Ovis aries: one gene and its partner. The protein of the gene in region 2 purifies or fractionates together with the protein of the main gene of each other region. This does not show direct contact. Links are inferred from orthologs where the notes say so. Each region holds a gene or a part of one and is shown on either strand. Other genes may lie near its edges.

The links.
Region 1: the proteins of GGH (region 2) and CANX purify together in Homo sapiens (affinity purification with mass spectrometry; 3 studies listed by BioGRID and IntAct, with this or other methods). This does not show direct contact. The link is inferred for Ovis aries from reciprocal best matches to the Homo sapiens genes GGH and CANX.

What each region holds. Positions count from the first base shown.
Region 1 is NC_056058.1:1,386,517-1,402,198, forward strand, and holds part of CANX (calnexin), read right to left. Parts: intron 8,277-15,682; 5' UTR 8,274-8,276; coding exon 8,100-8,273; intron 7,839-8,099; coding exon 7,765-7,838; intron 7,340-7,764; coding exon 7,281-7,339; intron 6,813-7,280; coding exon 6,671-6,812; intron 6,263-6,670; coding exon 6,181-6,262; intron 5,740-6,180; coding exon 5,547-5,739; intron 4,172-5,546; coding exon 3,982-4,171; intron 1,741-3,981; coding exon 1,627-1,740; intron 1,211-1,626; coding exon 1,054-1,210; intron 1-1,053. UniProt on the Homo sapiens protein: Calcium-binding protein that interacts with newly synthesized monoglucosylated glycoproteins in the endoplasmic reticulum. It may act in assisting protein assembly and/or in the retention within the ER of unassembled protein subunits.
Region 2 is NC_056062.1:41,008,124-41,024,415, reverse strand, and holds the start of GGH (gamma-glutamyl hydrolase), read left to right. Parts: upstream 1-6,048; 5' UTR 6,049-6,145; coding exon 6,146-6,254; intron 6,255-8,264; coding exon 8,265-8,379; intron 8,380-11,087; coding exon 11,088-11,138; intron 11,139-16,292. UniProt on the Homo sapiens protein: Hydrolyzes the polyglutamate sidechains of pteroylpolyglutamates. Progressively removes gamma-glutamyl residues from pteroylpoly-gamma-glutamate to yield pteroyl-alpha-glutamate (folic acid) and free glutamate.

The DNA of each region.
Region 1 (15,682 bases), on a different chromosome or scaffold from region 2:
ATGAATTCTGCATTATCTGTGAAGTAAGTGCTGACTGGGTGAAACTTATCAGGAAGAAAACAATAAACGCTACTAACGCCTCTAAGACGGCTGACTCCAACTACTTCCAACTTCTACTTTCAGTTTCACCCATGACCTTGATTCAGACCAACACCTTGCTCTACCTGGCACATTCCAAGAGCCTTCACTCTTATCAGCTAACTGCTGGCAGGAGTGGGAGCACAGACCAGTACAGACTTCCTCAGTGGTGAAGTGCACACGGTCTTCAGTCAGATACTTCACCTCAGACAACTGCCCAGAGAAATGATTGCCACGCATACTTAGACTAGTACAAGAAAAATCACTGCAGCAAGGATTCTAAACGCAAAAATGGAAATTCACCTAAATGGCCGTCAACAAAACAGCTAAGGGGCAACTTTTCTTACTGCCTGCACAACTAAAAATACACTTAAAAACAGAAAAGCATACACAGTCCATATGTAGAGATAGAACTTACATTTCGAAGTAAGCTGTAAAGTAGAAATTAGTGAGTTTAAATAATCTGACTAGAACAGAAACAGAAGTGAGACCAGGGTCGGAACTGTTACAGAGCCACAGTAAACTTGAAGCTTTAAGGTATCACCACCGGTATAATCATCTCATTTGCGCTTCAGTCTTTTTATAGCTGAAGATACCGAGGTCAAGCAATGGGCTAACTCACGGTCAGGAAACCAACTTTCACCACAGTCCCCTATCCACGCTACCAGAGACTGCCAGTTTGGATATTTATGGCTGGAGCACCCCTGCCACATGGTAGGAGGGTGTCCGAAACACAAGTTTTCATTTTTGTTTGTTTTTAAGTTATAATGCAATTATGAAAGCTTGTCTTTCCACTTCCTAGGTTTATCTCTTCAACACAACACATAAGTTCTCTCTTAATTCCGAAGTTTACTTTGTTTTTAATTCAATTCTTTGAATATAGAGGATCAATCTGTGGCAGGCTCACTACACACTCGAGAACTATCTGAACACAAAGAGCTCAATGAAGCAGCTCAACCATCAGGAGGTACCAACCTGGTAGTTAGGGTTGTCAATCATGGGGGGCTTCCATCTGCCCTTGTAGTTAGGGTTGTCAATCATGGGTCTCTGCCAGACACCGCACCCAGGGGCCGACTCACACTTAGGGTTGGCAATCTGAGGAGCCTCCCATTCTCCATCCATATCTTCATCCCTATATAGACATAAACAAACTGCAAGTGGATTCTGTGAAGCAGGACTATGAAAAGCTACCCCAGGGCTTCCCTAAAATCCTGCAGGAATATTCAGCGGCGTACTACAAAGCATCATTTTGTTTCTGCATTTCCAGTAACAAAGGATTTTCTGTGACAAGATACATTAAAAAAGAGATGAAAATGTAATCAATTTAGTTTGTTGAGCTCTACACTTAAGTTTGAGCAGTTGAATACTGGAGTGGGTTGCCATTTCCTTCTCCAGGAGACCTTCCTGACTCAGGGATTGAACCCAGGTCTCCCACACTGCAGGCAGATGCTTTACTGTCTGGGCCCCCGGGGAAGCCCTGGCTGTATTAAGTACTAACTTTCCCTTCAGTAAAGAGCAGGCAATGTTAAAGTTAACCAATGCTCATACCAGTCCTCCGGCCTCTCTGCGTCTGGGTCAGGCACATACTCAGGCTCATCATCTAACCAGCCTTCGGGCTTCGTAGCTTCTTCATCTGGAATCTTAGCAGGGGCATCCTCATCCCTAAGCACAAAAGAAAAAGACAATTAACAATAACACTGGCCACAGAACTACAATGATTACAGTGTGGTCCCACTTTGTGAAATAGCTCCTCCTAGAAATATCTAAAATCATATGCAAGGGTCTAGTATGCAGAATATATAGAGAACTCTTACGATTCAATAATAAAAGACAATTTGATTTAAAAACCAGTAGAGGATTTGAATAAACATTTCTTCAGATATACAAATGCCCAAAAAGCACATGAAAATATGTTCTACATCACTAGTCATCATTTTGAATGCAAATCAAAACCACAATAAGATACCACTTCATAACCAGTAGGATGACCATAATGAAAAAGGACTGATAAAACTAAGTATTGGCAAGGATATGGAAAAAAATGAAACCCTCCTAAATTGCTTGTAAGAAAGCAAAATGGTGCAGCTACCTTGGAAAACAGTTTGGCAGTCCCTCACAAAGTTAAACATAGTTACCATGTGACCTAACAATTACACTCCTAGGAATATACCCAAAAGAAATGAAAACGTATGTTCAACCCAAAACCATTCATTTGAATGTTTATAGCAGTGTTATTCACAACCATAGCCCAAAAAGGGAAACAACCTAAATGTCAATTAAACAAGGAATCGATAAATAAAATGTGGTATCACCCACAGGATGGAATATTATTCAGTCACAAAAAGAAAGTATCAATACAAGGTTCCACATGGATGAGTCTTAGAGTCTTAAAACTATTATGCTAAGCCAAAGAAGCTAGACACCAAAGACCACATATCTTACTAATCCTATATTCAGAATGGTCAAATCCGTAGGACAGAAAGTCGATTACTGGTTGCCAGGGGCTGGTGGAAGGGAGAAATAGGGAGAAGTAACTGCTTCATGGGTATGGGCTTCTTTTTGGGTGATAAAAATGTTTTGGAATTACAGTGGTAATCGCCGCACAACACTATGAATATACTAAACCAGTAAACTGTACATTTTAAAAGGGTGGATTTTAGCATGTGAATTATGACTTTAACAGTCACCCTTCTAAGTTTATCAAGAAGTACCTAATTTCAAAGCTTTCTGCAGTTACTGTAAGACAGTGCCACTTTAGCTGGTAACCAAGGACATCTCCTATTCTTGGTCAGGGTTATGCTTGTTTTAGAACTATGCTAGTTTAAAATTGTGTTAGGACTAAAACTTGTCTATCATTCACCTGACCTTTTAAGCTGAACATTTACTTCTCCTCCACAACAAAACAGCTAGTTAAGGAATACAATACTGAACAAGGTGAGCCCAAATCTAATGTTCACCAAACATATAAATAAACTCACTCTTTACACCAGTGCAGCAGGTAAGTATCAACTAGAATTTCCCTAAGAAACCTAAGAGGATGCTTTTACAAATGGAAAATCAGTTTTATATTTCTCTTTGTTCACTTTCTAACATTTCCACAAGTCACCATACCAAGAGTTCAAACAGGGTCATGCACAAGAGGACAACCCACCGGCTTCCATTTCTGACCACTCTCCAATTTGCATCCTGCATAAAAGACCACTCAATTGCCCACGTGTGTGCTAAGCTCGCTCCTCTTCCTCTACTTTTGCACATGATATTCTCCTTCAACCAGGAAATACCACTTCCCATCTTTCCCAGTTAGTTAGCTCCTGCCCACTTTCAGTTCCCAATTTAAAACACTAAAGCCTGGTATACTTGGTGCTCTGGTCACCATGGAAACACATATTAGATCATTCACCATATGCACGCCAACTTCGTTGCCTGTCTCACAACTACGGTGCGGGCTGTGCAGGCAGCGGCGTGCCTGTAGCTTTGTATTCCAGCGCCCAACGGAGCGCAAAGATCTGCTGAGTACTGCTTAATAGGAGAAAGGCTATTTTTCAAATTAAAATTTTAGGACTCCAGCTTTAAATTGAATTATAGAAGCACGGGAAAGGCCAGGCCAAAAAATGTGAAGTTCCGTCGCAAACCAACTGTGCTGCCACAGGCAAGCCCTATCATGAGTTTCAGCATTTAGTAGCTTGTGAAATGGCGTGAGGCAGTCCAGATGACCACGACGGCCCTGGGGGTCACCATGCGGTCACTACTATTTTCAGCTGTAGTAGTCTGCACTTTTCCTAACATTTACACTGCATCACAGATTGTACAAATTATCAGACTTCAACCATCATTAGATTGCTTAAGCCACATGGAATGTATGAAACGCTCCACTGCATTCAAAAACAGGTACCAAAGACTCACCAGTCATCTGGTTTGACAGCATCAGGATCTGGTATTTTTGGTCTTTCATCCCAATCTTCAGGCTTCCGGTCTTCTGGGTCCTCAATTTCACGTGAAGGATTTACAGGAGGAGTCATGTCATTTAACAGATTCCCACTGTTCACAACAGATTGGTCCACTAATATTTCAAAACTATTATCTGGATTCAAGACTGAAAAAAACCAAATGCAATTTTTGTAAGTTAATTAGCCACTCATTCCCAAGTTTTCTTTACCACAAAAGATCGTATTTCGAACAGAAGGCAGAAGCATGGAGTAATGACTTTGGCTATTACGAGTCGGAACACGGTCACGGAGGCTCAGGCAAGTTTGTACTCTTTTCCTTATCTGTCAATCATAAACATTAGTTCTTCAGGTTTTTAGAAATTAAACAACAGGTAAAATTTTAAAAACAAAATATTCCATGAACATGGAATATGAACACAAAAACATCAAAACACCAAAAGTATGCAAAGTAACTGCAATATTGGTCTGTCACAAATGGTTACACACAGGTCAACAGGCAAATAAGTTTATTTATTATAACCATCTCCCAGTAGAAAAGACCCATTTCCTCATTTTCTGAGTTGGTATTACCACTATCTATGTTGCCAACAGTTCCAATCACACAAACCTTTTATTTATTAAACCACAAATCTACTCAGGCTGTACTTTTGGACTCCAGTGAAGAATGCAAATGTAGCTTTAAATCTATAAAGGTATCTTAAGTGGAATTATGCTAAAGCCTGGATCCTACGACTAAATGTCTAATAGGCAAGTGACTAGATCACAGCACATCCAGAATACTGTGGAAGCTAACAGAGTAAGTACTATGCTGCTGTCCTAAATGATAATGAAGGTGACCAATGTTATCAATGAAACATTCTCACAGAAAATTCTCACATTTTGTTAAGAGAAGAAATAAAACATATTTAACCTTTAATATAAAATTATGTGTTTACACATATATACATGTTTACTCACATATGGCCAAATACGTATCACAATGTCGATATTTCAGATACTTTGTCTTTTTTCCTTTCAAATTTCTATGCTGAATATATATACTTTCGTTATAAAGAAAAAAAGGTATTGCATTCTTCAGGAAAAGAAGCATGACTACATGTGATCTCAAAGCAGCAGAAAAAGCCTTATGAATATAAAAAACCCCATTCCAATGTCTGAATAATTATACTCAACTGTCTAGGTGTTGGAGCATCCAAACAAGTTCAACTAGAAGACACATTTCTATTGTATGTCCTGTTACTTAACATTCTATCAATAAGAAAATAAACAAAGGCAGGAGATGAGTGGAGATCAAGCAAAGAATCCTTTTACAGGACATAAAAGCTTTTCTTAAAATCTGTTTCTCAATTCAACCTAAGGAAGAAACATTTCTTTTAGTGCTGAGAAACTAAGTTCTTCTCACCACTATGATATTAAGTCAATAGAGATTGTTATTTGCAGGTCATTTTCATTATAATCTTTAGAAGGATAATAAATGGGCAGTGCCAAAACCCCCTCAAATTAATTAATAGTTTTTCTTACTTAATGTATAAAGATGTGTTTTCTTATCAGTAAAATAGGTCTTCAGATCTGCATCTGGCCTCTTAGCATGCTTTTCTTCATATACACCTGTTTTGGGGTTTTTGTGGCGGAAGATGAAGTGCAATTTATAGTCCTCTCCACATTTATCTGGACCAAACATAATCGTATAGGGGGTCTTGTCGTGGAACTGATCCTTCAGAAACAGAAACGAATTAAGTAACTCAAAGTGTTGAAAAGCAACTTTTCAAAAGTATGATATATCCTCTTACAAATTCCCAAATAGTATCCTATTTATTCATTTATGAGATTTGTACAGATACCACTGAAAATAACCAGAAATTTCACTGAGAATGATTAAAAGCATAAAATAATGCATTTATCTAGAGAGTTACTGCTTCTTTTATAAAGTTTGCTAAAACTAAAAATTACATAGGACAGAAACTAAGAAACAGCTTCAAAATTTACATTTCAAATAAAAAGCACAGAAATGTCAATGTCGATATTTTCAACTTCCAAGATATTTCAACAGCAGGAAAGAAGACCTTTATTTTCACAGGTCTTAGAAAATTTTCTTTCGTTCTCTCTGAAATTCTTAAAAGGTAATTGGGTGGCCACATAAACAGAAAGCACTTACCAGATTGAGCTCTGGGGTTTTGGAAAGTAGTTTCACATAGGCACCGCCACATTCTATCCCATTTTGGAAATTAACTTCATACCTAATTTTAGGGGGGAAAAAAAGCAGAAATTTATTTCCCCTTTCCCTCATTTTGATCACATGCTTTATACAGGTTATATGTAAAAATTCCATCTTCTACTGTTATATCCACCCAATCCTCCAAAATTAAATAAGTAAAAAAAAACAAACCAAAAAAACCGTAATGCAGATTCCCAATAAATACTTTCTGTAAAATCCAGAAGTTCATTTGGCATCAGGAGGAAAAATAGCTGATTTATTTTAAAATAATTTACTGGGCATGAAAAAAAATGTTACGATATGCTGAAACACATCCTAAAATTTCTATTGCAACATGTAATTATTTTCATTATTTTTTTACATAGAATAACAGTTTTAAACAGGTATCATTCTTCCCAGAAAGCTTCTATCAACCAAGTGTTTTACTTACTGAACAATGAGAGGCTTGGTATCGAAGATGAAGGGCTTGTTCAGCTTAGTAGAGATAGCATGGTGTTTGGCCCGAGACATCAACACAAGTCCTTTATCGCCTGGAAGTTTCGTTTCCTTCATTTCATCTACCTCCCATTTTCCTGCAAGACAACAAAAAATAGTTCCATTCTCTAACTACACCTCTGAAGATCCTTTAATGGTAATAAATAAAACTCCAAGTTGTATAAATTCATCACACAGGCAAATGTTTAACCTGTTCCATTTACCTCTAAGAGCTGGCCTATTAATATTAAACACACATAACTAATAAATATTAGGATATAGTTTTTAAAAACCCAAAGCACATGCATTTTACCAATGCCTAGAAAAGACCTTCCATGTTCAAAATACAGCACCATGGGTAATAAATTATCTTTCTACTTTATAGTATAAAAATTAAAATTAAACAGGTCTAACCCTATAAAATATAATGGGACACACAAAGATAGCAAAGTTCCAAGGAATAACCTTAAAATGTATACATACTACTTTTAAACTAGTCTTGAGATACTATGGAAGCATACTATATCTCAATCTGCTGTTATATCTAAGTCAAATGCAACTCTCACCATCATATTTGGCAATTTCGTCATCAGTGTCATCTTTCTTGGCTTTGGATAAAATCCACCTGTAATTAAGACATCCCCCCAAATTAAGAATCAAATTACAGTTGGCCTGTAAAAAGAAACAATGTAAATAATAATAAAAACAGGGACAATTCAGCTCTTCTTAGCCCACCTAATCACTCTACTTTCAACTTTTAAATATGTCTTTCAAGTAGTGATAATATATTATACTCAAATCAAAAATCGGTTAACAAAAAGCACCAAACTCATGGAATAATTTCACTTTTTAAGACTCAAAGAGAAAAAAAGATTTTCCTCAAAGAACAAAATACAAGGTGAAGGGGAAATAAATGGAAGCAAGAACCACATGTTCTAAAGATTTTTCCTAAATGGGACTGAAAATATAAAATACTATCTAAAAAGGAATCTACTATTCTAGTTACATGATGTTTGCCTCTAAGATTTTATCCCCCTACAAAACACTTACCCTGACAGAGTTCCTCTGTCAAAAGAATCAGCAAAATACACTTCCCCAGTTGGAACTGGAGCTTTGTAGGTGACCTGTGTTAAACATAAAAATGAATTAAGAATTAAAATATTCTCAGTAGGATCTATTCTCTTGGTTTGCTTTCACACTTGCATGACTGGCCCTCAAATTCAACCCATATAATTTATCTTTGGGACAATATAACAAAGGTTGACAGGGAGAGCAATAAGTATTTTAGCAAATTTTGCTTTCCCTTTGGTAAGGATCCAAAATGTACCTTCATCTTTTGATCATCTCAAGAGGCAAAACAAACAGATTCAAAGATCATGTCAAACCTTTGGCGATGGCGGACTGCTGGCATCTGGCTTCGGTTTCGAGTCTTCTACCTCTTCAATGACGTCATCAAGGTCATCCTCAATGTCAATCACATCATCGTCATGTCCATCATGAGCTTGAACAAGAGCAGTTCCAAGGACCAGTAACATACACAGCAACCACTTCCCTTCCATGATCTAAGTATTTATTAAAAAAAAATACAGTTAATTGTATCACCTCCTTTCAAAAATTTTGAACCCTTATTTAAAATTAAGGCTTTCAAATCAGAGCTGAAAGGAACTTTACTGTATTTCATTTTATAGATAAAGAAAGTGAACTCAGAATAACAGGTTTTCCTAAAATCAGTTAGTTAAAAGATTCAATTTCAAGAAAAAATTCAAACTATAACTCAAACAATTGTCCCCATATAGAATATCATGTTGGCTACACAGACCTAGGGTGTTCAGATATAATTTCAAAATAACTTCTTGCATTTGTAAAGAGCTTTACAATAGACAAAGCCCCTTTTACAGAATAGTTTAAACGAGTTAAAACATTACAATGAAATAACAGAGGAGTTAACTTGCCTCACATTAAAGACTTAATTTAGATTAGATGCTGCTGTTTTTGTCCAAAGATCAAGAAGAATAGGTATGTTTTTTAATTAGTGTTTTAAGGGACTTCCAGGGAACCCTGTGCAAAGCAGGGGACTTGAGTTTGATCCATGGCTGGGGAACTAAGATCCTCCATGCAACAGAGCAACTAAGCCCAGAGCAAACAGGCCACAATTCGAGACTCCATGCTCAACAAGGTCCTGCACTAAAACCAGACCCCGCAGGATGCAAAGATCCCACCTGTCAGCAACTAAGACCCAATAAGCCAAGTAAATAAATAATACATCAGTTTTAAGATTCAACAAAAAAATATATTAAACCATGCTGCTGCTGCTAAGTCACTTCAGTCGTGTCCGACTCTGTGCAACCCCAAAGACGGCAGCCCACCAGGCTCTGCCGTCTCTGGGATTCTCCAGGCAAGAACACTGGAGTGGGGTGCCATTTTCTTCTCCAGTGGATGAAAGTGAAAAATGAAAGAGAAGTCGCTCAGTCATGTCCGACTCTGTGCCACCCCATGGACTGCAGCCCACCAGGCTCCTCCGTCCATGGGAGTTTCCAGGCAAGAGTACTGGAGTGGGGCGCCATTGCCTTCTCCGAAAAACAAAAAAATATATTAAACCATAGACCAACTATTTTTATCTCTTTTTTCTAAGCCTTCAAGTGTCTTACATATCATATCTGACTGTCATGGATGGTAGTCAATCCTCTCTCCAAAACCACAGATCTAAAGATACAAAAACTGAGCCACACGGATGCACAAAATGATTCGGCAGTAGGTTGTACAGAATTTTAATTCTGCAAGATGAAGAGTTCTCGAGACGGATGGAGGTGAAAGCTGTACAACAATATGAACATACTCAATGCCACTGAACTTGATGGTTAAGATGGTAAATCTTACAAGTATTTTCACTGCTATAAAAAAGATTTTATTAAAATAAAATAGCTTAATTTTTTGGTCACTGGTAAATCAACTTATTCTAATGCTGAATTTAACGCCTAATTCCTTATAAATGCTATAATCCTTTAAAGTGATTGATTATATAGAACTAGACTTTCATGTATCATTTGGCGGCATTTCCTTTATTTATAAAGCGTGGGTACTGTTTTCACAAAATGAAAGAAAGTAAGGCTCACTGGACTCCTAGGCAGCACAGAAAATAAAGAAATAAAAGATTTTTATAAAAATAAAAACTCACTCATCATCTTTCCTAGGACTGGTATTAGAGTTTAAAAACTCTCAATGTCAACATTCTGCTATGGCTTCTTATATACCAAGAAATGCCAGTAATTTCAATTTTTCACTGTTAAGGCTTCTATTCTCTACCACCGAAATCTACAATGGCGTAGCAATATCGCTTTGATTTACAACTACACTGGATTCTCTGAAACTAAACAGGCTGATTCAACCCTTTTATCTACATCAACTGTATACAACCTAAGAAGTCCTCACAGAAATAATGCTATAAATGGCAGTTGGGTTCCCAGGGATACTCTATAAATCAAATTAGCCCACAAAATAGTTAAGTCAAAAAGGCAAATGTGATAAGCCCAGTAGCAATTAAGTGAACCACAAAGCCAGTGAATTAATAAGGACTGTGCACTGATGTTAAAACACTGCTGCTCAAGGAAAAGCTAATCGGGGAGATGAACTAACTACTTAACTTTCAAAAATGGGATTCAGGTAGGGTTCAGTGAGGGAGAGTACAGCTGCAGAACAGGAAGACTGATTTTTTTCCCTGTATCTTTTAATTTACTGATATACTGCTGTTATGTTATGGGCTTGCAGATGGCTCAGTGGTAAAGAACTGGTCTGCCAATGAAGGAGACCCACATTTCGGGAAGATCCGCTGGAGAAGGAAATGGTAACCCACTCCAGTATTCTTGCCTGGGAAATCCTATGGAAGGACCTGGCAGGCTACAGTCCATGGGGTTGTAAAAGATTTGGTCACAAGTGAGCAACTGAGCGCACACACACATACAACATATACCGCTGTTACAGGCTTAACTGTGTCTCCTACCTCAAATTTGTATGTTGAAACTTGAACTCCCAACATAACTATATTTAGAGATAGGACCTTTAAGTAATTAAGGTTAAAAGCAGTCATAAGGTTGGGGCCCTAACTGGTGTCTATAGTAAGAGGAAGAGAACCAGGAATCCACATGCACAGAGGTTAAGTCCAACGAGGACACAAGATGGTGGCCCTCCGCAAGCTGAGGAGGAAGGCCACATCAGAAGCCAACTCTGCCAACGCCTCGATCACAGACTTCCAGACTGTAAGAAAACACTTTTCTGTTGTTTAAGCTGCCCGGCCTGTGGTGCTGTTGTGGCAGTCCAAGCAGACTAACACAATGCTCCTTGGGTTGAGTATAATGTCACAAGACAGCTCTTCCTAACTTGAGCGTGCCTCAGGGGGCTTTTTAAAACAGACTGCTGATTGAGTGTGTGCGTGCTGGGCCTTTTCCTTCCTATCAGGTTCCAGGGGATGCAAAGGTTGCTACCCTGAGAACCACTGACTAGGGTTTATGAATCATCAACTTGTGCTTTGTGTTCCAGTTTATAAAAGCACTTTCACAGTTACATTATTTTGCAAACCTCCCTTGAGGTATTACTAAGATGTAGTGAAATGAAAACAACCCAATCATTTACTCAATATCACAACCAATAAGTGAGAGTCAAAGACTTCAGATCTCCTATTTCTATTACACTAGACAAAACGTGGCTGCATCCCGAACACGTGTGAGAGGATAGAAAGGCTAGTCAGGAAGGGTCCTGAAGGGAGTGGGCTGGAACGGAGGATTCAGGCAGGGTTTAGTGAGTGAGCAGCGTGACTGCGGAACAGGTTGCTGGACGAGGAACCCAGGAAAGGTGGCATCTGCATGAGGGAGGCAGAATAAAAGCAGAAGTTGTCCGGCAGCATAAGGCTACCATCCCAGTCATGGACAGGAAACGCACTTCTCTCCACCACCATTTCCCTACAGCCTGAGTTTCAGGACCTGGTTTTTCAGGTTTGAGAAGTCTCAGGCACATATCTGTTAACTTTCACATTACCTAGAGGGTTGTTAAAGCCGTGGAGGAACCACCATTGCCAACCCATGGCAAGTCAGTTCTCACAGCCGTGTGTTTACGAGCCTAAGCCACTGCTAGTTTTACACATGCTGCTTCAATATTTGCCAAAGCAACTTGCCAGTACTCCCAAGAAAACGCTGAACAGGTCTAGTTTCAAGAGCCACTATTAAGCCAGCCCAAACATTCCAAATTTTGTTAAAGACTTGGTCACACTTAGAAATAATCCAAAACAATATATTTTAAGGTGATCTTAATTCTCCACTTCATTAATGAAAACCCAGTATTACCAAGTAACAAAACCCACCCTCATTTCAGTCCTCCTACACACACATATCAAAAAGGATGTTGCACTATTATGATTTCTATAAGAAAACACAGGAGAAATTGTAAGCAATCTTGGGTTTGACAAAGAGTTTCCCAATACATCAAAAGCTAGACACACAAAAGAAAAAAATTGGTTGAACTTACTTTAACTCTATGAAAGAAACTTGAGAATTAAAAAACAAATCAAGCTAGGAGAAAATATTTGCAAGATAAATATCTAATAAAGAAATGGATTCCAAAATGTACAAAGAACACAAACGCAACCAGTAAGAAAAACCACCCAATTACAAACTGGGCAAAGCATCTAAACAGACACCTCACCAAACAAGATGTTTAGACGGCATATGAAAAGATGAGACACCATCTGCCACTGCTCAGTCGCTCCAGTCGTGTCCAGCTCTTTGCAACCCCATGGACTGTAGCCCACTGGGCTCCTCTGTCCATGGGACTCTCCTACTGGAGTGGGTTGCCATGCCCTTCCCCAGGAGATCTTCCTGACTCAGGGATCGAACCCAGGTCTCCTGTAGCTGCTGCACTGCAGGCAGATTCTTTACCGCTGAGCCACTGGGGAAGCTCTTTCATCTGCTGTTAGGTAACTGCAAACCATGAGATACTACAATACCCCTATTAGAATGCCTAAGATCCAAAACACTAGGAAGGATGTGAAGTAACAGGAACTCATTTCACTGCTGGTGAAAATCTAAAATTTCAGGCACTCTGGAACATACTCTGGCAATTTCTTACAAAGCTAACCATAGACTTACTATATGATTTGTCAATCATGTTCCCAAGTTCTTGCCCAACAGATCTGAAGGCTTACGACTGGACAAAAACCGTCACACAAATGCTTATAACAGCTTTATCCATAACTCAAAACCTGAAGAAACCAAAACATTTTTCAGTAGGGGAATGAGTAAACAAACTGTAGTATACCCATTCGATGAAATATTGTTCAGAAATTACAAGATGAGCTACCTAAACTGAATCACTTTGCTGTACAGCAGAAATTATCACAACATTGTAACCAAACTATAAACTATAATTTAAAAAAAAAGAGCTATTAAGCCCAAAAGAGACTTAAATCTTTAGTGGATACTGCTGAGAGAAGGCTAACTGAGTCTGAAAAGGCCAATGCTATGTAATTCCAATTAGATCACATTCTGAAGAAGGCCGAACCCTAGATAGCAAAAGAAAAAAAAGAAAAACCAGAGGTTTAGAGGCAGCGGTCGGGTTGAATAGGTAAGCACAGGGGGCTATTCTAGGCAGAGAAACTGTCCTGTATACTGTTGTTGTTATGGATGACGGTACTACATATTTTTCAAATCCCATAAAACAGCACAAAGAATGGATCTTGATGTACGGAAATTATAAACCATCATTTAAGAGGCTGAGTGACCCAAGGATACACACAGGATGTGGCGAAACCACCCCACTGTATCACAAACCCATGAAGCAACCTCACTCAGAGAGCTGGCGGGAAAAGACTTTTCCCTAAGCAGCTCTGGCAATCAGCGAAGTCTGCAAAACCAGACTATGCAAAAGTACTGCTCAAGCTGAACTGACTCGCATGAGCATCCAGGGTGACCATCTGCATACTGCTATACACACATATCAGGAAAATTAAGTAAATGGATGGTGTATGGCAGGGGCCACTTTCAATGCTGAGCGTGGAAATTTTACGGACAAGCAAGACAAAGAGGCTAAGATAATCCACATGGTAACGGGCGAGAGTTAAGAGACTACAATATGAACTCATGTCTACCTTACTATACAGAGGATTACACACAAAACATTTATAGATATGTGCATATGAACCAGTTAGTATACACACATATATTTTCTTGCTCTATCAGTTAAGAGGGCATACAAGAAACTACTACACCTCAGTAGCAATTCAATAAATACCCTAGCATCAAGGATTTTGGTTTCCAATATCATCTCCAATAAAAAGGAAACTGGGTTCCTTGGCTGATTCTAGGATTAGGGCAGCAAACATATAAGACAAGCCTGGAACATCCTGTACCGCCAGAAAGTGACGAAGTGTTCAAAACAAAAACGCCCACAAGGATGGGGGGCTACATCAAAGGAACAAAAGAGCGAGCAATGGCCAAAGCTGGAACAATACAAGCAATAAATAAGTCGTACTAGATTATATTCTAAAGCACAAAATAAATGCCCATGAATCTACACATTACATTACTGAATAAATAAATGAGACTAATCAAACAAAAGAGGCAAACTTCCCAGGCAGAAATATTCCAAGTAACAGATACAGACAGTCCACTGTCAAGGAGGAGAAACATAACTCCCTACCCTTACAAGTGGGCTACACACAGTGCTCCCCTTCCTGTATGAGAACAGGAAAAGCTGGAATTTACAGTGGAGAAACCCAGCAAACACTACTTCAGCCAGCTGCTCAAGGTAAAGACCAGAAGTGATGTCATGCTGTCAGCATGCCCTTGATACAACGGGGTGAAAACAGTACTTCAGCGCTCGCTTCGGCAGCACGTTAGTAAGACTGGAACATACAGAGGAAATTAACGCGGCTCCTGCGGAAGGACGACACGCAAATTCCTGAAGTGTTTTTCGAATGGGTAAGAAAGCTGTGGTACATATACACAATGGAGTATTACTCAGCCATTAAAAAGAATACATTTGAAGAAGATCCGCTGGAGAAGGAAATGGCAATCCACTCCAGTACTACTGCCTGGAAAATCCTACGGACAGAGGAGCCTGATAAGTTACAGTCCATGGGGTCGCAAAGAGTCGGACACGACTGAGCGACTTCACTTTCGCTTTCTAATGAGGTGGATGAAACTGGAGCCTATTATAAGGAGTGAAGGAAGTCAGAAAGAAAAACACCAATACAGTATTCTAACGCATATATATGGAATCTGGAAAGGTGGTAACAATAACCCTGTATGTGAGACAGCAAAAGAGACCCAGATGTATAGAACAGTCTTTTGGACTCTGTGGGAAAAGGAGCGGGTGGGATGATTTGGGAGAATGGCATTGAAACATGTATAATATCATGTAAGAAACGAACCGCCAGTCCAGGTTGATGCATGATACAGGATGCCCCGGGCTGGTGCATTGGGATGACCCGGAGGGATGGTATGGGGAGGGAGGAAGGAGGGGGTTCAGGATGGGGAACACGTGCACACCTGTGGCGGATTCATGCAAAACCAATACAATATTGTAAAGTAATTAGCCTTCAATAAATAAATTTATATTTTTTAAAAAAAGAAAAAAAAACAACAACAGTACTTTAACCTCTGTGGTCTTCTTCCCCAAAATCCATACTCCCTCTAATCATGAGAAAAACATCAGCGAAATCCCAACACAGGGACTGCTGTCCTGACCAGTAGCCCTCAAATGTCAAGAACATCAAAAACAAAGAAAATCTAAAAAACTGTCACAGCCAAGAGCAGTTTAAGGAGACAAGATGACTAAATGTAATACGGTACCATGGAACATGAGCAGCAAGTGAAAACAAAGGAAATCTGAATTAAATATGGACTTCGGTAATTACCATGATCTGGTCATTAATTATAATAAATGTACTACACTAACACTGTTAATCATGGTAGAAATGATT
Region 2 (16,292 bases):
ATCTGTAAAAAAATCAAATGATTATGAATGTTCTTTAGAGAACGTCTTTGTGATTTAGCATTGGGAAGCTAACTGTACATTATAATTTTTATTTAAAAAATTAGATCATGCTTGTTTTCTAAAAAATGATAAAACCTTCTTTATAAAATCATAAATTTAGAATTGTTTAATTAAAAATAACAGAAGAATAAAACCATTTAAAAAGTGTAAATAATAGCAACAACAAAAAGCTCTAGTTTACCCAACTTTTATTCTTACAAGGTTTACATCACAAAGTTCCACTTCATTCACATTTTGGGAACTTAAACCACTTTCTTCTGACTCTATAAAGGAATGATTACTTTAGCACAATAGATAGTATTTTTAAATGTCTTTTAATTATTATTCATTGGTGATGTTATTAATAGTAAATAGAATTAAAGTAAGTCAATCAACAGAAGTACATTTCATGATAGGATTTTGAATTTTTTATGAAATGCAGCAATTCACTGAGGAACATTAAAAGAACAATGTAAAATGAACAGGCGGTTTTATAAGGTGGCAAGATAAGTCACTATTGAATTCTCTATTATTTTACAGTAATTGCACCAGAAGTGCCTTTTAAAAGACTAACATGTGCTCATTGTTACTGAACTGCAGGATAATGTATTTGCTCTAATATTGTTCAAAACAAAATAAAGATTTTTCACACTATAGCTGTTGGTTTTCCATTTTTAAATAAGAATACTAGGTATTCTTTTTCAAAAACTGCTTTTCCTTATAGAAAAGCTTAAGAAAAAAGTATCACCATCCATCTAGTTGTCCTCTTTATACATTTCAATTGCAGACTGGTTTTCCCCGCTGCTCAGTTCAATACCACTTTCCCTGGTGGTGTTATGCTTAAAGTGACCATAGATTAATTTCTTAAAATTACGCAAAGCATACTTTCAGAACTTAAAACTTAAGTGAGAAAAGCCAGAGTATGTCACTTTATCAGATAATTTGATTTGGAAACTATCAGCCCAGATCATGATTTCAGATTATCAATATATTTCCCTTACAGAAATAACACAGAAGTCCTAGAGCAAGTAATAGTTTTGCTACCCACCTAAATCAAGCCAGCAGCTCACAAAACTGGTCAAACATACAAACTTCAAACTCAGCAAACTAGTAAGGTGATGTCTGAAATACTTCCTGGTCTCAGGTGTTGAATTTTCCCCACTTGGATGCTATGGGAGAATTATGAGTTACAGAGATGAAACAGGATATGATGGCAGTAAAGTGAGGACTGGCAGCGGGACCAACCTCACCCCCACACTCAGGTTCTGGTGGTCAAGGGTACTCACTTCCTAACTTTCTCCCTCTCCTACAGCCAGCACTTGATTGACTCCTTGCCTCTTCTCTGTCCAAGTCAATCGTATCAGTCTAATAAATATAAACAAACCAGAGCAGACCAAGAGATCTGGTTAAAAAAAAAAAAAGTTGGTGAATTAAAATACCATCTTCAGCTGGACCTATTTTGTTAAAGGTAAAAGGAGTGGGGGGGAGAGGGATGTCCCATACAACCAAACGTTCATGACCTTATTCCAGAATTCAGGTCTAAGCAAGTGGGTGTGCCTGGCTTGAGCTTGCATGCTAAATTGCTCAGGCTCCTCTGTCCATGGGATTCTCCAGGCAAGAATACTGTGGGTTGCCATTTCCTCCTCCGGTGGATCTTCCCAACCCAGGGATTAAACCTGCATCTCCTGCATTGGTAGGTGATTCTTTATCACTGAGACACCGGGAAATTCCTAGGAGATACAAACCTCCACTTAGAAAATAAATAAGACATAGAGATGTCATATATAATATTTTATTGTAATAAATTTGTATGGAGTCAGATGGTTACTAGATGTATTGTGGTGAACATTTCCTAAGGTATGCAAATATCAAATCACTTTGATCACATTTAACATACTCTTGTACATCAACTGTATTTCAATATAAAATAAATAAAGGCCTTTTCTTCTAACTCCAGGATCAGGGTCATCTATGGGTCTATTTTTCTCTTTCTTATTAGATTACTATTATATATTTCTGTTTCTTCATATTTTTAATAATATTTTATGTTGGACATTGTGTTTAGTTGTAGAGTCTCCAGGTAATATCTTCCATCAGCAACAGCTCTTCCTTTTGTCAGGTATCACGAAAGCCTAGTAAATCCATCAGGTCTTGAGCTGGGTTGTAGATTTGAGGATTCAGGCTATCTCAGGTTCATTCCCATTCTTCATGATTGATCCACTTGGGTTTTTTGGTGTCTTGGATGTTCTCCTTTTTTCTTAACAATTCCTTCAACAGATGTTTTAGTGGTGGCAACTGTGTGTATGTGGGGGTGAGGTGAGGTCACTGCCATGACTTATTTCTCTTCATTTCCTCCCTTATCTCCTTCTTTCCCTTCACTGTCCTCTCTTGAAGGAATACTACTTGCTTGTCAAAGTGGCTGCTTCGTCCTCAGAAGCAATACTTATCTGAAGTTGCCATCTCTGGCTTCTTCCTGACAGCCAATACTAACCCTCCAAGAGGGCTTCCCAGGTGTAGCGCTTCAGCCTTAAAGAACCCACCTGCCAATGCAGGAGCTGCAGGAGACACAGGTTCCATCCACAGGTTCCTCCCTGGAGGAGGAAATGGCAACTCGCTCCACTATTCTTGTCTGCAGAATCCCCGTGGACAGAGGAGCCTGGCAGGCTACATTCATACAGTTGCACAGAGTCAGACACTACTGAGCTTCTGAGCACAGGCACACACAACCTTCCAAGACCTAGGCTGTGCTCAGTATCCTGGTATTTCATGTTTGACATTTTCTTTCAGGGCTTGATTTTGCCTATGCTTTGTCTAAATTACTTGCTCCTCTTTCCTCGTTTTCAAAGAGGAAGCCTTGCATCTTCTCCTCTCAGCATCGGAGTCTTGCAGCAGTAGAGAAAACTTGCTGGAGTTTGCTACTTAGCAGTCTTCCTGTTAATTTGATGTTTGTGGTACCCTCCATCTCCAAGTATCGTGAAAGGCATAAATCATGTGTAACTTTAAACTCCTTGTATATCTCATGGTTTTTCTTAAGATCTGTAGACAGATTCTGGCTTAGGCAGTTGACATAAGCCTCTGGACACCAGCATAACTTATTTGTTATTTCTTATTGATATAAAATTAACTCTGTTGATGTGCCATACGCCAAGCTGCTTCAGTCATGTCCATCTCTTGGCGACATTATGGACGGTAGCCCACCAGGCTCCTCTCTCCACAGGACTCTCCAGGCAAGAATAATGCAATGGGTTGCCATTTCCGCCTCCAGGGGATCATCCTGACCTAGGGATCGAACCTGCATCTCTTACAGCTCCTACATTGGCAGGCGGTTTCTTTACCATTAGCACCACCAACTCTGTTGATAACCAGCTCCAATTTATTAATTTTCATGCATTCTAAATATCAATTAATTATACAATTTATTCATTCCTTTATTGATAATGATTTAAGTTGCACTTAATATTTCACTACTACAAGAGAATGCTACAAAGAACATATTTGTATATGTTTATTTATTCACACATGTAGGCATTTCTCTAGGGCAAATACTAAGTCTAAAAAGTGCTGTGTTATAGAATATGTGCACCTTCACTTTTACCACATATTGCCTAATTGCTCCCAAAAACTGTTGTAATACATCTCTACCAGCAGTGTTAAGAGGATTCTTATTTTTCTACACCCTTATTATCAAAGGTTCACTTTTTTACACTTCTGTCATTCTGATGGATGAGACATACTATCTTTTTTTAATCTGCATTTCCCTGATGACTAGTGAACCTTTGTCTTTTCATATTCTTTTCCTAGTTTTCCATTAGGTTGTTATTCGTTCTTGTTCATTTTAGTTCCTTGTGCATGCTAGAAATAAACATCTTTGAAATTCTGTATTTTGTAAATATATCTTCCAAATTTGTGCCTTATCTTTAATTCATTTAGCTAAACAGAAGTTTTAAAATTATAACATCATAAAAAAAATAAAATTATAACATCATGAAATCTACCATTTCTTCCACTAACATGTCATTTTTTTAATTATAGTTTTTTATTTTTTAAATTTTAAAATCTTTAATTCTTACATGCATTCCCAAACATGACCCCCCCCCCCCCCCCACCTCCCTCCCCACAACATCTCTCTGGGTCATCCCTATGCACCAGCCCCAAGCATGCTGCACCCTGCGTCAGACATAGACTGGCGATTCAATTCTTACATGATAGTATACATAACATGTCATTTTTAAAAAATATGTTTTCTGAAATTCCACCAACGTCCTGGACACACAGTCCTATATCTTCTCATCAAAGTATAACAGTTTGTCTTTTACATTTGTATCTTTACTCACCTAGAGTTTATTTTTGTATATAATGAAAGGTAATACTTTTTTCCTATGTGGACAGACAATTGCTCCAGCACAACAACTTCATACTGGTACAAAGTTTCCTCATCTGTTCATTTGAGTTCAAAACAAACCGAATATGTAGGGCCTTTCACAAACACATCCATTCAGCTTATAGTTCACCGCGCCCTTCCAGAGCAGCATCATTATCTTTTTTTTTTAATATTATATATATTTTATTATACCTGCTTATGCCATTTTTGTGTTTATATCATTACTCATTTTATCAGAAGTTTCCCCACACTCCTTCCTTCCATCCATCATTTAATAAACACATGTTGAGCACCTCTTATATGTTAGACACAGATGTATGGAGGTGGATGTAAAATAAAATAATCCTTGAGTTCAAGAAGTTCTTAGTATAGTTCTGTTAATACTTTACTAGACTTTTCATGAAAACTGAACCATTGGTTTGCAATTTAGAACTTATGTCAACCAATTGTATAGGGAAGCTTAATCTATTTCCAATGAAACCCCATATTTTCCCCCTAAAACACTGAACATTTTTACTTCTGAAGCAAAACTACCAGAGCAGCATTATTATCTTAACAAAGCATACGACATATTGCATTCGCTCTTCTCGAAATATTTTCACAAATCCTGTTCTCTCTTTTCCTTACAAAATTGCAAACTTCTGAGACGAAAAAACAAGGCATTGCCCAATTAATCTTCGCATCCTCTATATTTGGCATTGACTTGATTATCAAATACTCTTCAATTTTATTCTGATTTTCACCCTTATAGGTGGGAACTCCCAGTCAGTATAAGCCATATCTTTATATTTAGGTTTTCACACAGAAAGAAAAAGCTTACCTTTCATCTACTAGCCCACCCAAACAAGTTCAGTGTTTCTAAATCTTTTTTCAAATTTTAAACAGAAACCTCAAAAAAAAAACTCTTAGTGATTAGAAACCCAAGTGACCCTTTGTGCCCTGTTGTAGAACAGTCTGCATCAACATTAAAGTTAGAAGGCACCGTGTGCGGGTCTGGCCTGGACTTGTTTTTGTCTTGATGCCAGGAGTGGGCCCCTCCTTGACCCAGTTCTGAGCTGGGGCGATGCTCGGGGGAGTGTTCACATCCACGGGGCTTTCCTCATCTTCTCTTCGTTTGGTCCAGAAGCCTCGACCTGCACGCAAATGGCAGGATGCGAAAACTACCTTCCAAGTCACCGACCATCCCTGATGGAAAGCGGGGGTGTCCAACTCCGCCGCCAGCATTCCTCAACACGACTTTGGGCTGGAGCAACCGATGGCGCAAAGTTCTCAGGCGACTTCTAGAACCTCTCGCCAGCCTCCCCCGCTGCCTGGTTACCAATCAGGTCAGGCTGCAATCCAGCGCTCCCCATTCGGCCGCTGGACCCGGCGCCCCAGTTAGTTCCGGGTGACTTCAGGTCACGTCGAGGAAACAGCTGAAAGGGCGGGCTCGGGTACACGAATCCCACCGCACCTTCCTGAGCCCCCGCAGACGCCGAGGGGCGGGCTGGGGGCCCGGCGTCAGGGCGGCTGAGGCGCGATGGGGTAGGCGCGGCCTCTGCGTTCCCGGAGTCGCGCGCCCCTGCGGCCCCAGCGCACATGCGCCCGGACGGCTTTCCCATAGGCCCCCGCGGCGGAGCACCGCCCCCGCCCGACGCCCTCGAGCGGCCAGGAGACGGCAGCTGCCTCACCCGGCGGCTCGCCGGTAGAAGAGCCTTTGAAAGGCGGCGGGAGGCAGCGAGCGCAATGGCGAGACTGGGTCACCTGCTGAGCGTGTTGGGTCTGGTTCTGTGCGGGGCGACGGGCCTCGGTCTGAGCGCCCCTCCCTCGCCCACCCCCAAGAAGCCCATCATCGGTAAGGAGGCGGCTGGGGCTGGGGCTGGGGCTGGTGAGCCGGGAGCGCGCCCTGGGCGCTTCCAGCTGCTGCGCTAAGGCAGGTGCATCCGGTCCTGGAAACGTTAGGGTTAGTACGTGTGCCTTCCTAGCCCAGGGATCAAACCATCATTGAGATCCTGCTGAAATATACCTAGCTAATGCTCGTTGATTTCCCGCAAATCCTTGGCTCTTAAAATTGGAAGGGAGGAGCATGCACCGTGAAGAATCCTGAGGATATGGCAGCCCACTCCAGTGTTCTTGCTTGGAGAACCCCAGGGACGGCGGAGCCTGGTGGGCTGCTATCTGTGGGGTCGCACAGAGGTCGGACACGACTGAAGCGACTTAGCAGCAGCAGCAGCAGCAGCAGCAGCAGCAGCAGCAGCAGCAGCAGCAGTAATTTCTGCGGAGTAGGCAATGGCAACCCACTTCAGTACTCTTGCCTGGAAAATCCCAGGGACGGGGGAGCCTGGTGGGCTGCCGTCTATGGGGTCTCACAGAGTCGGACACGACTGAAGCGACTTAGCAGCAGCAGCAGGAACTTCTGCTAACTAAACCTTCTGTATGCATGCATTATCTTTATTAAAATTTCACTGGTTGAGGGCTCATTTCGAGGAACAATGCAAAATCGAATTGACTAGATAATTGAGAAATTATGGTATACCTGGCCTTTGTCGTCTTTGGCAGCGGAGGGCAGCCGTGGCTCCTGTGATCCTAGTAGCAATTCTGTTTTATGTTAAAGTAAAACAGTCATTTTTCTTTTTCAACACACTTATTTTCTATAAAGGGAGTAACATCAATTTGCATCGCCAGAACAGACATTTAAGACTGGGGCAAGGGAAAGCAACCCTGGAGAAATCAGCTCGTATTTGAAATGTGCAAAAAAGTAATTTGTGGGCGGACAACTAGAATTGATTTCATTTTAGCTGGTAGTATTGTTAGGCCTTTCATTTTGTTTCTTTCCCCCCCTTTATTTCCCACGAAGATGGGCACTGTATCCTGTAACTAAATAGAAAGTAATTGAGCATTTTTTCATGGATATTGGTAGTGTCCATTTTCATATGTGTTGTGTATCAATATTTGAAACTTGAGATGCATTATTTCAAAGGGAGTTAACTCAAAATGTAATCCTATGTAGGCTTACTGGGTGGCTCAGTGATAAAGAATCTGCCTGCCAATACAGGAGACGCAGGAGATTCAAATTTTATCTCTGGGTCAAGAAGATCCCCTGGAGGAGAAAATGGCAACCCACTCCAGATTCTTGCCTGAAGAATCCCATGGACAGAGGAGCCTGGCAGGCTACAGTCCATGGAGTGGCAAAGAGTCAGACATGACTTAGCTACTGAGCACATTGCAAAACAAAACTACACAGGATGTTTTATATTTTGATTACAATGTTTGTTCCATGTTATCTGGTAAAATATATGTGCATTTTACTATATGTAATCTATACCTCAGTAAATCTGAGTAAAGTTCCTTGAAAAGCAAAACAAGGGATGCAGAGAGAACTTTTAAGGGGCTATTAGAATAATCCAGGTTGGGGGGGTAGGCAGGATGTTTTGTTGCTTGGATTAAGATTGTTTTGATGGTGTTGGAGAAACATGCATAGAGAATTTTTTCACTCTTTTGCTTTGTTGTCAAGGAAACCATGTGCCTGTGTGTGTGTGTGTGTGTGTGTGTTTAGGGAGGGGCCTTCTGCTGGATTTAAGGATTGGTACTCTGACATAGATTCTAGCTTGTGCCAAAGAACCTGGCTTTGGGGGCTTATTTGGCCTCCCCGATGTGGCAAGAGAAGAAGCTACTTACAATTCAAATAAGCCTCCACTACTCCTTTTCCAAATCCTATAGATATCCTTTCAGGAGAAGCTTTATGTGTAATTCTGTGAATTAAATGAGTGAAGAAGTGATATTTCTAGGGTGATATGTTTCAGTTTCTGAGCAGGAAAAGAAGGATATTACTTGAAACAGAAACTTTATTTTTTTTGTAATTTAGGAATATTAATGCAAAAGTGCCATAATAAGAACATGAGAGCCCTGGGAAAATACTACATTGCTGCATCCTACGTGAAGTTTCTAGAGTCAGCTGGTGCAAGAGTGGTACCAGTAAGGTACGATGCAATAGTTTTTACACTGAATTAAAAAAAACTGCAACTTCTGTTTCCTCTCTAAAGTTATCTTTTATCTCTAAAATGAATGCTTTCTCTCTTACGATTGCATTATTCAAGCACATTAATGTTATACCTGGTTTTTGCCCCAAATCTAATGCTTAGAGTGTCTCATTAAGTTGTTCAAAGTGTGAAGCTGCATCTTTCTATTATATCATTAGAGCTGTGTCATGTATATTAGATAGAGAATGAAATGATAAGTTCCTTTACTCCAGAAAAGGTGATCCTCATCAGATATTACAAAAGCAATGGAGTAAAAGCACTTCTAGATTCACCAGCTTCATTCCATAATATTAGTGTAAAGAAACATGTAAGGAATCAAGGAATATTCTAGAAGAGGACTTTTCAGAGACCTTCCCACCCCACTTTAGAAGTTTGGAGATGACTAATACAGCACTGTTGCTTCGATATTAATTGCAGGTATTGCGATTTTAAAGGACCTACATTATTTTTGTGGTGTAATGATCTAAGGAACAATCAAATGACTCGTGTCATATTCATGACATGACATGATAAATGATTCATGTCATTTTGATTTGGAAAGACTTGAATTTTTTTTTTTTTTACAAAAGCCTTGTTGCTGTATTGATATTGTCTTATCACCCCAAAATAGTGTATTTGAGGGTCTTCTAGCACACTCACCTAATCTATTGTAAGTGGTTTCACACATAAAACACAACTGTTTGCTCAGGAAAACCTGTTATTGTAAGTAATTTCACATTAAAAAAATGGTAACGAAAGTAAAACATTAATACTCAAAATGCAAATACAGTTTTGAGAATAGTACCACAAAATGGTTTTATCTTTAGATGAACATTTGCTTTTGACATTAGTCTTCAGTTTTTTCATAGCAATCTAATTTTTTCAAATGAAATCTTCTTTGGAACTTAACTAACAGCAGAGTTTTAGAGCTGAGGTGGAGGTTCTGGACAGTCCTCCAGACAACTTGCAAAGTTTTGATCCTGGAAGCTTTTTCTGCAAGCTGTTCATTTAGAAAATAGGTTTAATAACATGGGTGGAAGGTGGGAGAGACGAAAGACAGGTAGGCCAGTTCAGAGATGTGACTGGGTTAGGTGTGAAGCAAGGAAGGCTTGGCTTAGAGCAGTGGTTGTAGAATTGCTAGGTAAATGTTTTTTAAAAAAATTAATAAGACTCAATGACTACTAGGATGAAAGGGCACAGGGAGGAATAGACAAGAATGGCAGAGGTTTTGAAATGGGAAATGTTGAAACTGATGACTTGCAGAATACTGAGATTCATGACTGAGATGCTGAAAACATGGCATACAGGTTAATTTCCAGCTTGGATTCCCAAAGTTCATTTTAAGGTATATTGCTCAGAATTAGAATCATGTGATTCTATAAAAGCAGTATAATACGTGGCAGCTAAATTCCCAGAGCAACCTGCAAAGGATTCCCTAATGTAGAATGAGTCGTGATCACACTGATGATGTTGGTTGGGTTTATTTCTGAATTTCGGATGCTGGGGACTGACTGCTGCAGTTCAGAAGGAAAGAGGAGGTGGACAGGAGACCTCAGCAGAATCCTTGAGCAGGCGAAGGTGCCCTTCAGGGGAAGGGCCCTTCAGAGGAAGCAGGTGCCCTTCCTCCTGTCTGGCCTTCACCCTCTGGTGCCCGGTGCACTCAGGTTATTATAATCTCCTGCCCTAGAACTGGAGGGACCCAGAAGGTGTCCACCTCCTGAGAGGTGGCATGTGGCAGCCCACTGGCACTTTTGGTCTAAAAATCTGTTTCATTCGTAGTGTTTAAGGTATGTACAAATCAGGAGACTTCATAAAAGTCTATATTTCTGGCCTTTATTTTTTTTTAACACCGTTTTCTGGAGCTAATTTTGAATAGAGCAAGAGCTGTCCATTGGCAGCAGTGCCTGTTGCTCCTTTTCATGCTCCGAAGCTGTCATTTGCCATCATTACTAGACGTATGCTGTTTTCTTTAAAGAGAACTTATTGAGGGGGCCTTGCGTTTTAAGAAAGTCTGACAACATGCAAATGTCATCTGTGTTCAAAGAACGTGCCCTGTCTGTTTTGCCTTCACGGTCTCTGAGACACCTATGTTTGTGACCCCCGTCCCCACCTCACAGTTAAGCCCCTTAATAGTGATGCACTGGGCCCCCAAATTCAGGCATGGACAACATGGGAACCGTTTTTTAGAATGAGTGAAATGACCAGAGCCCGGCTGCAAGGCTACCTGGCAGGAGTCCCTGGAGAGCAGCTGATTCATCTCAGTCCATTTGAGCTTCTGATGGTGGTGGTTGCCTATCCTGATTTAAATGTCCGTGGGGAAGATTCTGTGTCCCGACTGGTCCCCTCTTTGTTGACATAATCTGGGGAGATTCACCTGGCAGAACGCTGGGACTCAGCGGTTTCCCTGGTGTCCCCACAGCTAAGACTCCATGCTCCCAGTGCAGGGGGTCTAGGTTCCATCCCCGGTCAGGGAGCTAGATCTGATACGCTGCAACTAAAATCTGATGCAGCCAAATAAATAAATAAATAAATAAATAAATAAATAAATTTTTTTTAGAAAAGAATTACTTTCACCTGGCTTTTAAATAGTAATGTGGTAGCTTTATTTAGAGACTTTCTTTCTTCAGTTTTGGGAATGGATGTTTTATAACTATTTTTATCATTTTCAGGCTTGATCTTAAAAATGAAGAGTATGAAAAGCTTTTCAAATCTATTAATGGGTAAGTTGCCAACATTGCTTTAAGACAATGTATGAGGTCTAAGTGATGCAAAAGAGTACATATGAATACAATACATGTTTCTAGGTAACTATTTTTCAGTGGTATAAATGTTAGTTTTCTGAGTTATTTTATAGAAATTATTTTGTTGAGTGATGTAAAAATCCTGCAGAGAGAAGGCAGGTTAAAAAATAAATGTTATATAGTAGATAACATATTTTTTTTTAATGTACGACATAATTTTTATTCTTTTAATGCTTGTTTTAAAGGCTTTGAAGCCACTTTGGAGGCCATGACATACTGCTTGCTTAGGGGATTTATGTCTTAAGACTTAAGATATTAATTGGTTATCTTTCAGACGGTGATTTGAATAGAATTTGGTAAAAAGTTTTATATCCTCTAGCTTCATCACAAAAGATATGATTGCTTAGCTCACAGAAAAAAATCATATGAAAAAATGTGAGACTTATTCATAATTAAAGGAAAGCTAATTATAACAATTAAAAACCACCAAGTTGGCAGAAAGCAGAAAATGTGCTAATGTGCTAAGGTGAGGTGAGGGTATGAGGAAACAGTGTTCTTATACTTTATTTGTGGGAGTTGTTGATGCAAATAAGATACAAACAATCTACATTAAGGAACAGAAGAAAGTTTTCTTCAAGCCATACTGAGGACTATAGCCCAGGAAGAAAGTGCTTTGGAAAAACACCATGTTATATCTTGACAGATCAAAGAATGTACGTCAAACATGACAGGGTTACATTCCTTCCAGGTTTCAACAAAGACGTGGCCAGTGAGTCAGCATGACCTTAATGTCTGGCAAGGGAACCTTGGAAGGACCAGGTCTTGGAAGGACCACTAGCATGGGCGTCATAGGAAGGGCAGCCATTTGTCCCTATCTTCAGAGTGGACTTTTCTTTAACTTCTAGATAATGCATTCTTTTCTTAATGGTTAAAGCAGAGGTACAGTACATGTTTGATGGACCATAGACAGACTGTTCTTATTAGCATAAAGTTCCAGTCAAATCATGTGTAAGTCAGAATGACTTCCCCATACTAGCTCATGCTAGCTCATAGTAGGTGAAAATTTCTTCTATCAGGGTGGAAGTTAGATAGTCTTTTGGGGGCAGTTTTATAATCTTTTGAAATTAAAAATGCACATACCATGTGACACAGGAAATGCTTCAGAAGGAATTTTAGTTTACAAATATAATCCTCTCCTTTAACATATACACACTACTATATGTGAAATAGGGAACCAACGAGGGTCTGCTGTACAGCCGAGGTATCATACTCAATATTTTATAATAACCTATAAGGGAAAAGAATCTGGAAAAGAAAAGCTAGTCACCTTGCTGTACATCTGAAACTAACACAGCATTGAAACTTGACTATATTTCAATAAAAAGTAAAGCGAAAAAGGTATAGTCCTGTCTTATATGATGACCTGGGCCCAAACGTATGTACTGTTGTATTGTTTGAAATACCCCTGATTTGGAATCCATCCACCCACCCATCAGTTTGGAACTGGGTTAAAAAATAAACTATACTCATATGATAGAATATGGTTCAAAATGAGGGTGTCTGTAGATGATGCCCTGAATCACTGTTGTAACCTGAATAGTGTGGTATTGTTACACGAAACAAGCAGGGTGCACAGAGGTGTGTGTAGTGTACTCCCATTTGATTTTGTTTTTGAAGTTGGGGTGAGGAGACATGCATAATATATACCAGGTTAACACAGCAAATCTTAATGGTGGTTATTTCTGCTTGGGAGTGGAATAGAGGGAGTCTATCTTACTGTAAAGCTTTTATTAAAAGAACTTTTAAAAATTAAAAATAATTGTTCATTTTTTAAAAAAAGCTATGTTCAAAGCTATCATTTGCATTCAGTTCAGTTTAGATCAATAAGTATTTAAAATCAGTTCAATTTAGTGAAATATTTACAATGCCTGTTATGTGCAGTGTACTTTTTTTTTTCTTTTTTTTAAAGTTGTGATTGAGTTTATTTTTTTTAAATTTTTTTTAATTTTAAAATCTTTAATTCTTACATGCGTTCCCAAACATGAACCCCCCCTCCCACCTCCCCTCCCCATAACATCTCTCTGGGTCATCTCCATGCACCAGCCCCAAGCATGCTGTATCCTGCGTCAGACATAGACTGGCGATTCAATTCTTACATGATAGTATACATGTTAGAATGCCATTCTCCCAAATCATCCCACCCTCTCCCTCTCCCTCTAAGTCCAAAAGTCCGTTATACACATCTGTGTCTTTTTGCTGTCTTGCATACAGGGTCGTCATTGCCATCATTCTAAATTCCATATATATGTGTTAGTATACTGTATTGGTGTTTTTCTTTCTGGCTTACTTCACTCTGTATAATCGGCTCCAGTTTCATCCATCTCATCAGAACTGATTCAAATGAATTCTTTTTAATGGCTGAGTAATACTCCATTGTGTATATGTACCACAGCTTTCTTATCCATTCATCTGCTGATGGACATCTAGGTTGTTTCCATGTCCTGGCTATTATAAACAGTGCTGCGATGAACATTGGGGTACATGTGTCTCTTTCAATTCTGGTTTCCTCGGTGTGTATGCCCAGCAGTGGGATTGCTGGGTCATAAGGCAGTTCTATTTGCAATTTTTTAAGGAATCTCCACACTGTTCTCCATAGTGGCTGTACTAGTTTGCATTCCCACCAACCGTGTAGGAGGGTTCCCTTTTCTCCACACCCTCTCCAGCATTTATTGCTTGCAGATTTTTGGATCGCAGCCATTCTGACTGGTGTGAAGTGGTACCTCATTGTGATCTTGATTTGCATTTCTCTGATAATGAGTGAAGTTGAGCATCTTTTCATGTGTTTGTTAGCCATCCGTATGTCTTCTTTGGAGAAATGTCTATTTAGTTCTTTGGCCCATTTTTTGATTGGGTCGTTTATTTTCTGGAATTGAGCTGCATAAGTTGCTTGTATATTTTTGAGATTAGTTGTTCGTCAGTTGCTTCATTTGCTATGATTTTCTCCCATTCAGAAGGCTGTCTTTTCACCTTGCTTATATTTTCCTTTGTTGTGCAGAAGCTTTTAATTTTAATTAGATCCCATTTGTTTATTTTTGCTTTTATTTCCAGAATTCTGGGAGGTGGATCATAGAGGATCCTGCTGTGATTTATGTCTGAGAGTGTTTTGCCTATGTTCTCCTCTAGGAGTTTTATAGTTTCTGGTCTTACTTTAGATCTTTAATCCATTTTGAGTTTATTTTTGTGTGCGGTGTTAGAAAGTGGTCTAGTTTCATTCTTTTACAAGTGGTTGACCAGTTTTCCCAGCACCACTTGTTAAAGAGATTGTCTTTACTCCATTGTATATTCTTGCCTCCTTTGTCAAAGATAAGGTGTCCATATGTGTGTGGATTTATCTCTGGGCTTTCTATTTTGTTCCATTGATCTATATGTCTGTCTTTGTGCCAGTACCATACTGTTTTGATGACTGTGGCTTTGTAGTAGAGCCTGAAGTCAGGCAAGTTGATTCCTCCAGTTCCATTCTTCTTTCTCAAGATTGCTTTGGCAATTCGAGGTTTTTGTATTTCCATACAAATCTTAAAATTATTTGTTCTAGTTCTGTGAAAAATATGGCTGGTAGCTTGATAGGGATTGCGTTGAATTTGTAAATTGCTTTGGGTAGTATACTCATTTTCACTATATTGATTCTTCTGATCCATGAACATGGTATATTTCTCCATCTATTAGTGTCCTCTTTGATTTCTTTCATCAGTGTTTTACAGTTTTCTATATATAGGTCTTTAGTTTCTTTAGGTAGATATATTCCTAAGTATTTTATTCTTTTCATTGCAATGGTGAATGGAATTGTTTCCTTAATTTCTTTTTCTACTTTCTCATTATTAGTGTATAGGAATGCAAGGGATTTCTGTGTGTTGATTTTATATCCTGCAACTTTACTGTATTCATTGATGAGCTCTAGTGATTTTCTGGTGGAGTCTTTAGGGTTTTCCATGTAGAGGATCATGTCATCTGCAAACAGTGAGAGTTTTACTTCTTCTTTTCCAATTTGGATTCCTTTTATTTCTTTTTCTACTCTGATTGCTGTGGCCAAAACTTCCAGAACTATGTTGAATAGTAGCGGTGAAAGTGGGCACCCTTGTCTTGTTCCTGACTTTAGGGGAAATGCTTTCAATTTTTCACCATTGAGGATAATGTTTGCTGTGGGTTTGTCATATATAGCTTTTATTATGTTGAGTTATGTTCCTTCTATTCCTGCTTTCTGGAGAGTTTTTATCATAAATGGATGCTGAATTTTGTCAAAGGCCTTCTCTGCATCTATTGAGATAATCATATGGTTTTTATTTTTCAATTTGTTAATGTGGTATATTACATTGATTGATTTGCGGATATTGAAGAATCCTTGCATCCCTGGGATAAAGCCCACTTAGTCATGGTGTATGATCTTTTTAATGTGTTGTTGGATTCTGATTGCTAGAATTTTGTTGAGAATTTTGGCATCTATGTTCATCAGTGATATTGGCCTGTAGTTTTCTTTTTTTGTGACATCTTTGTCAGGTTTTGGTATTAGGGTGATGGTGGCCTCATAGAATGAGTTTGGAAGTTTACCTTCCTCTGCAATTTTCTGGAAGAGTTTGAGTAGGATAGGTGTTAGCTCTTCTCGAAATTTTTGGTAGAATTCAGCTGTGAAGCCATCTGTACCTGGGCTTTTGTTTGCTGGAAGATTTCTGATTAGTTTCAATTTCCGTGCTTGTGATGTGTCTGTTAAGATTTTCTACTTCTTCCTGGTTCAGTTTTGGAAAATTGTACTTTTCTAAGAATTCATCCATTTCTTCCACGTTGTCCATTTTATTGGCATACAACTGCTGATAGTAGTCTCTTATGATCCTTTGTATTTCTGTGTTGTCTGTTGTGATCTCTCCATTTTCATTTCTAATTTTATTGATTTGATTTTTCTCTCTTTGCTTCTTGATGAGTCTGGCTAATGGTTTGTCAATTTTATTTATCCTTTCAAAGAACCAGCTTTTGGCTTTGTTGATTTTTGCTATGGTCTCTTTTGTTTCTTTTGCATTTATTTCTGCCCTAATTTTTAAGATTTCTTTCCTTCTACTAACTCTGGGGTTCTCTAATTCTTCCTTT